Linked DNA regions of Macaca mulatta. The protein of the gene in region 1 binds, or shares a complex with, the protein of each later gene. Links are inferred from orthologs where the notes say so. Each region holds a gene or a part of one and is shown in the gene's direction. Other genes may lie near its edges.

Region 1 (4,084 bases):
TTAAGTGGGAAACGTCAAATAGTAATTACCACTCACCTTTTTCCGGAAAATCGGCTTAGTTTGCCCACCATAGCCACTCTGCTTCCTGTCATAACGCCGCTTTCCTGGGAAAACGAATTGGTATTTGTTATAATACCAGCAAGTAATTCTTACAGGTTTTATCTTAATTTTGCAGCAGAAATATTAACGCTCAAGTCGGGCGTGGGGGGGAAGAGACCTGGACCCGTATGTTACTCTACAACACAAATGTCACATTAACACCAAATTATGCAGAATCCATCTTACCCTGGGCATACAGAGAATCCTTGCCCTTCTTGTACTGTGTCACTTTGTGGGGTTGGTGCTTGCCACACTTCTTACAGAAAGTCCGGCGGGTTTTAGGGACGTTAACCTAGTAAAGAAACCGTTCAGAACGTGCAGTGTTATTTGACGACAATGGCACAACGCCCTACCTCACCCAGCTAAAGCTAAGGCACTCCACGAGTACTCCTCACTACATGCTAACTCTGACTACAGGGTGGGTCAGCCCCATGTGCTTCAAGCAGAGCTTCCTCCCTCCGTCGAGCCCCAAAGAGGGAAAAGATCTTATTAACTCCACCCCCGGCTAACTCTACCTCTTTGAACCCATCACTTCAATTCCTGGCCCCGTAGCCCGGTCCCTTTAGGGTTGATCCCGGCAAAATTGGGTTGCTCCGGTATATCGAGTCCACACAGGAGCCTGGACCCATCCCGGCACAGCACCGGCGACGAAGGGGGGATAGATTACGCTGGATATTACTCGGCCCCACCAGCAAGTCCTACCATGCTTGCGAGAGCGATACCGGCACGGGAAGAAAGAAAGAAGCCGCGCCGCAAACGGAAGTATATAGGAGGTTCCCGATCGCACTTCCTCATGGGAGTCGGTAGGAGCAATCATAGAGTGTAAGGCTCGGCGCAGCGCCCTCCGGCTGCTGAGAGGACTCAGTTCCGAGCCGCGGGCGGGAGCTTAAGGAAGGACTCCGCCTAAAGGGTGGTCCACTCACCCCAACTTCCGCCCCGCAGCTTTGCAGCGTTTCGTCACTTTATCTCTTTTGGTGGACGCTGCTACATAGTGGCGTTCAGTGAAGGGAGCAGTGTTTTTCCCAGATCCTCTGGCCTCCCCGTCCCCGAGGGAAGCCAGGACTAGGGTCGAAAAGAGGGGTCCTCCACCTCCACGTTCCATTCCTGTTCCACCTCAAGGTCACTGGGAACACCTTTCGCAGCAAACTGCTGATTCAATGAAGGCCTGGAGGGAGCCAATTGCTCCAGTTCATCAATCACATGGCCAGTTGGTCCATTCAACAAATGGTCATTAGATGCCCATTATGTGTCAGGCACTGTTCAGGGGAAGGGATACAGTAATCTAATAGGCTTATAAATGTACAATTACGAACTAAGTACTTTGAAGAAAAGGAACAATGATTGGCGTTAAAGCAGCACCCTTCTGTTGAGGGAGTAAGTCAGCTGCTCTAGGTTCTGAAAAGTGACAATGAAATTGTTCGGCTCCTGTAATAGCAATCATCAAGCCTAGAAGTAGAAAGTATCCAGTGGCTCTTCCCTTCCTTGCAGACCTGGCAGAAGGCATATACTAGGTTTCAAGAGAGTCCAGCATAGAAAGACTGCAGGGTACTAAACATTTTAAATAGATTGTGTCATACAATTCTCACAGTAATTCTAGGAGACAGGTGGTACTATTATTCCCATTTTACAGGTTAAGAAATTGAGGTCGCTGGCCGGGCGCGGTGGCTCACGCCTGTAATCCCAGCACTTTGGGAGGCCGAGGCGGGCGGATCACAAGGTCAGGAGATCGAGACCACGGTGAAACCCCGTCTCTACTAAAAATACAAAAAATTAGCCGGGCGCGGTTGTGGGCGCCTGTAGTCCCAGCTACTCGGGAGGCTGAGGCAGGAGAATGGCGTGAACCCGGGAGGCGGAGCTTGCAGTGAGCCGAGATCGCGCCACTGCACTCCAGCCTGGGCTACAGAGCGAGACTCCGTCTCAAAAAAAAAAAAAAAAAAAAAAAAAAAGAAATTGAGGTCGTAGGATGTTAAAGGATTTTACCAATGTCAACAGTATTTAGTGAATCTAGGATACAAACCTGGGTAGACTGACTCTAGAACCTGGGTTCCTTTAACATTATAAAATACTGCTGTTGTGGCCTGGTGATTATAATAGCTAATATATATATATATATAGCACACTATATGCCAGGCATTCTCCTAACCACCTTACATACTACCCCTTTTAATCCTGACAGCAACCCCAGGAGGTATGTACCAGTATTAGTATTTAACAGGTGAGGACACTAAGGCACAAGAGATGTTAAGTTTACTTACCTGAAGTCACACAGGTTGTTATTTTTTTGTGGAACTGGAATTTGATACTAGGTAGTCTAACACTACAGCCTTGCACTTAACCACTACATCATACCAAGGAAGCAGGGGCATCTGCAGTGTAGAGGATGGTGAGGAGACAGAATTGGGCTGAGACACAGGAGGAGGTGGCAGTGGAGTAGGGACTGACGAACCATGACAGTCTGGGGTATCTTGCTTGCACAACCCTCCAGAAACATGCGTGGGACCTGAGCTGACACTCTGATCACCCCCTTTTTTGTTGGGTGGTCTCTGGGAATGAGATAATAAAAATATTACCACTACCTGCTACATTTCCTGAAAGTTTCTTTGCCAAACTTCCAGCATTTTCTTTTTCTTTCCAGATTCTTAGGCAATCTCACTGGCCTTTAGGGGTTTATGTTAGTAACATAGAAATATGAAGACCATGAACATGGCCCCTCTATGATAGAAAGAACTAATCAACCTTAGTTCTTTCTATCATACCTGTATTACATGGCTTTGTGGGGTTTTTGCTTGTTTTTGCTTACTTAAAAAAATTTAATTAACAAAAATTGTTTATATTCAAGGTGTACAACATGATGATTTGATATGTGTATACACTGTGTAATGATTACCACAGTCAAATTGATTAACATATTTATCATTCATCACCATCCATAGTTACCATAGAGGAGGTGAGGACACTTAAAATCTGCTCTCTTATCAAATTTCAATAATACAATGTTATTAACTATGGTCACTATATTGTACATTAGATCCCCAGAGCTTATACATCCTATAAGTGAAAGTTTGTACACCAATGCTGACACTGAGGTGGGAGGATCACTTGAGCTGTTCTCTGTTTTGGACATGTTCCTGCTCATTAATATCCCCTAAGATAAGGCACTCAGAACTGGATGCAGGACTCTAGGTGTGGTCTGGCTTTGCAGAGTAGGTGGCATGTTACCTTCCTCTGTCTAGATATTTTACTTCTGTAAGGAAGCCTCAATGTCACGTTGGCTTTTCTGGAAGCCATGTTAACTGATATGACATGCCTTTTGATTACTATCAGCAAAAACCCCTGAACCATTTTCACAAATGCTACTGCTACTCCACTTTCTCCTGGAGTCATTTGAAGTTCAAATTTGGGGCCCAGTTGTGAGACATCACCTTTAGCCCCGGTAAAATACACTTTGTGGAATTTGGCTTCTCACACCAGGTGATCAAGATCTTTTTGGAAACTAATTGCCCTCTTCCATCATCCAGTCTAGCACACAGAGCCTTGCACCATTCATAAACTAACTGGGCTACTTTTTATATTTTCCTCAAAGATCATCAACAAAAATGTTGAACAGGATAGCACCAAGAATAGAACCTTATATTGCATTGGGAATCTGTTCAGGTGACACTCAGCTGTTCATTTGTGCTATCTGAGTACAGTCCTCCTGTCAGTATGGATGAGTGTGCTAGGGGAGTGGTCGTGGGCAGAGGGTGAAGAAGAGCCTACATCTACTTGCTCTTTTCCCTTGTGCTCCTCTCTCTCTCTCTCTTGTTTAGCTCTCCCACTGGATGCCTGTCACCTCCCAGTCCCCACCCCAAGATGGACCTTGAGAAGGGACAGGGCATGTGACAACAAGTGACATAAGATGAAGAAAAGAGGAGGGAAGGTGAATGCCTGTGACCAATCCTCAGGCAGGTGAGTGGAGCAGCTATTGGGGGTGACTAGCAAAAGG
Region 2 (3,500 bases), on another chromosome or scaffold:
ATCCATTCCCTATTGAGAGCTATGTTGTTTTCTGGGTTTTTTTTTTCCTGCTGTAAATATTGCTGTAACGATCCTCTCATGTGTCTCTTACCTTGAACATTAAGTATTTCCTTAAGGGATGCACTTAAAAGTGAAATAGAGCTCATTCCTTGTTATTTAAGTCTTTGTTCTGGTGCCGTTTCTCCAAACAGGGATTCCACGCATATTTGAACAAGAGAGCACATTGTTGACATTGTATATTTATATGTTTATTATAACAGTTTCACAGAAGATGGCAGTAGTATCTTGAAGAATTATGTCTTTTTGTATTTTTTTCATAAAAGTATCATATGGGCTAGCATTGACTGTTAGCAGAAAATTTTTCCCTGACTACCCTATCTAAAATGTCTTCCTGCTTCCCAGTTTCTTTTAATGACCTTACACTACTTTTTTCTTCAGAGCATCTGTCACTGCCTAAAATCATATTGCTTTAATTACTTCTTAAGCCATACTTTTTCACTACGTCTTCTGGGTGAACTGATCTTCTATTTTGCTATACTTCCCATTTTTGTTTGTTATTCTCTCTACTTCAGCTATCCACTTGTCTAGACCCTGTCCATCCTTCAAGTCCAAACTCTAATGCCACTTTTCCATGAAGTCTTTGTGATTTTCCCCCACTTTCCTGGCTGGAGAAGATTATTTCTCACTTCTAAGTTTGTGTAGCATTTTGGTTTCCAGAAATGACTATACATCAGAATCATTTGGGGAAATATTTAAAAGATACAGATTCCTAATTCTTTTTTTTTTTTTTTTTGAGACGGAGTCTCGCTCTGTCGCCCAGGCTGGAGTGCAGTGGCCGGATCTCAGCTCACTGCAAGCTCCGCCTCCCGGGTTCACGCCATTCTCCTGCCTCAGCCTCCCAAGTAGCTGGGACTACAGGCGCCCGCCACCTCGCCCGGCTAGTTTTTTGTATTTTTTTAGTACAAAACTAACACGGTTTCACCGTGTTAGCCAGGATGGTCTCGATCTCCTGACCTCGTGATCCGCCCGTCTCGGCCTCCCAAAGTGCTGGGATTACAGGCTTGAGCCACCGCGCCCGGCCCAGATTCCTAATTCTTATCCTTAGATAATCTTTCATTAAGTAGGTCTAGGATGTAGCCAGAGAGGTGGGTTTTGTGAAGAGTATAGCATATTAATTGTATTCTCATTTGACCATTATGAAGTTCAGACTTTTATTGGAGTTATAGGTAATTGATGCATATAGCTCATCTCCTTTACCAGAATATGAGAGTAAAGGATGAATAAAGATTGTGCTGTGATACTTTTTTCCATAGGTTTATGTTTGTGGAATTTAATATTAGCATGTGTCTTTTCAAATAGTTATTCATTTTGGACCCGGAGAAAGTTCTTCAGAAGATGCCGTCATGATGAATACACCTGTGGTTAAATCTGCCTTGGAAATGGGCTTTAGTAGAGACCTGGTAAAACAAACAGTTCAAAGTAAAATCCTGACAACTGGAGAGAACTACAAAACAGTTAATGATATTGTATCAGCACTTCTTAATGCTGAAGATGAAAAAAGAGAAGAGGAGAAGGAAAGACAAGCTGAAGAAATGGCATCAGGTATTTGGGAATGTTAGTCACCTGCATTATTTCTCAATGGAACTCTTAGGACTGTCTCACATGTTACAGAACAACATGTTTGTTTCACATCCACTAAGTGCTGGTAGCAGTCCTCCAGTAATTTCGAAACCATCCCTCCTTTTCTACCCCTCTCTATTGCTTCTAGTTGAGAACCACTGACTGCAGCTTTTTTCTACATATTTATTTTTGGCTGAGATTCCCTGATTTATGCCAATCAGAGAATTTTAGCATAATAAGCTCTTTCTTGAGCTGTATTCCATTTCTTTCTCATACATAACAAATTTAAATTGTTTTGAGAAAGCAAGATATTAAAGTTGGATGCAGGTCTTTTTTCAACCTGTTTTTTAAGTTTCTGCAAATCATATTTTTAATATGATATTTTACTCCCTAATCCTTGCTAAATGGTCTGCATACAAAAAATAGAACTTACAATGAAATTCTGGGGCTTGATGAGAACCACCTGCCCAATCCAAGGATAACAGGAAAACTAATTTTTGTATTCGTCCAGACAGTGTTAAGTTTCGGCCCCCCAAAACAAGTATTTTGAGTAATCATTTATTCCTTCAATAAATATTTATGAGCATGAGCCCCAGTGCCAAATACTGTGCCTAATCATGGTGGTTGCTCTCAAGGAGTATATACACTAGCTGGCGAGACTAGTGTGCAGAAAACAGGGTTAAAGGGCCAGCAGAGAGGCGAAGGTTGCATATGTATTGGAGTATTGGGTTGGAAGATGCTTTCTTTTTAAGCTTGTAAGTAAAGATAGGAAATAACTTAAGAGTACATTATTGGCCGGGCGCGGTGGGTCAAGCCTGTAATCCCAGCACTTTGGGAGGCCGAGACGGGCGGATCACGAGGTCGGGAGATCAAGACCATCCAGGCTAACACGGTGAAACCCCGTCTCTACTAAAAAATACAAAAAACTAGCCGGGCGAGGTGGCGGGCGCCTGTAGTCCCAGCTACTTGGGAGGCTGAGGCAGGAGAATGGCGTAAACCCGGCAGGCAGAGCTTGCAGTGAGCTGAGATCCGGCCACTGCACTCCAGCCTGGGCGACAGAGCGAGACTCCGTCTCAAAAAAAAAAAAAAAGGGGTACATTATTGCACGACCATGTAGCAAAATGTTTAAAGTCTGGATTTCTACATTGAAACAGATTTGTGTTTAAATTGCAGCTCCAGGCCGGGCACGGTGGCTCACGCCTGTAATCCCAGCACTTTGGGAGGCCGAGACGGGCGGATCACGAGGTCAGGAAATCGAAAGGATCCTGGCTAACACGGTGAAACCCCGTCTCTACTAAAAATACAAAAAATTAGCCGGACGTGGTGGCAGGCGCCTGTAGTCCCAGCTACTCGAGAGGCTGAGGCAGGAGAATGGTGTGAACCCAGGAGGCGGAGCTTGCAGGGAGCCGAGATTGCGCCACTGCACTCCAGCCTGGGGGACAGAGCAAGACTGTCTCAAAAAAAAAAAAAATTCCAACTCCATCAGTTACTAGCTTGGCTATTTATCCAGACATCTGCTTTCTTATCTGTAAAATGGGGATCATAATAGTATGAATCCCATAAGGTTGCTGTTGGAATTAAATGAGATATTGCAAATAAAACACTTTAACACAGCTCCTAGCACATCAATTTATTTCTTTATTTATATATATATTTTTATCCATTAGGCAGATTGACTTGGGAAGTGGGAGGGACTTGGTGAAAGAAAGGGCCTAAGGAAGGTCAATTTAAGGATTGTTAAGTAGTAATGAAATCCAGCTAAGGTTATATGAAATTACTGTCACCTTAGATTTATGACTTTCTCATACTTTGTGTGGGTCGGAAGATAGTATTGAATTACAGATTTGGCAGTGTTAATAGGGGAAAGGCCAAGTAAGGAA

Evidence for each region. Proteins that work in one complex are often made in the same cells at the same time.
Region 2: the proteins of BTK (region 1) and BIRC2 are in contact, whole or in part, in a crystal structure (PDB 6W7O), measured with the Homo sapiens proteins. The link is inferred for Macaca mulatta from reciprocal best matches to the Homo sapiens genes BTK and BIRC2. Residues at the interface, in NP_000052.1 of Homo sapiens: Leu483, Asn484, Arg487, Glu488, Tyr551, Ser557, Lys558, Arg562, Lys595, Met596, Tyr598, Glu599, Arg600, Phe601, Thr602, Glu605; in NP_001157.1 of Homo sapiens: Pro280, Ser281, Ser282, Asn301, Asp302, Asp303, Arg314, Cys315, Glu317, Ser318.

The regions. Positions count from the first base shown.
Region 1 is NC_133426.1:108,279,399-108,283,482, reverse strand, and holds the start of BTK (tyrosine-protein kinase BTK), read left to right. Parts: upstream 1-1,284; 5' UTR 1,285-1,299; coding exon 1,300-1,357; intron 1,358-3,908; exon of another isoform or gene 3,909-4,051; intron 4,052-4,084. Other genes in the region: RPL36A (large ribosomal subunit protein eL42), read right to left, coding at 37-104, 286-391, 802-894. UniProt on the Homo sapiens protein: Non-receptor tyrosine kinase indispensable for B lymphocyte development, differentiation and signaling. Binding of antigen to the B-cell antigen receptor (BCR) triggers signaling that ultimately leads to B-cell activation.
Region 2 is NC_133419.1:103,239,126-103,242,625, forward strand, and holds part of BIRC2 (baculoviral IAP repeat-containing protein 2), read left to right. Parts: intron 1-1,359; coding exon 1,360-1,602; intron 1,603-2,793; coding exon of another isoform or gene 2,794-2,918; exon of another isoform or gene 2,919-3,233; intron 3,234-3,500. UniProt on the Homo sapiens protein: Multi-functional protein which regulates not only caspases and apoptosis, but also modulates inflammatory signaling and immunity, mitogenic kinase signaling, and cell proliferation, as well as cell invasion and metastasis.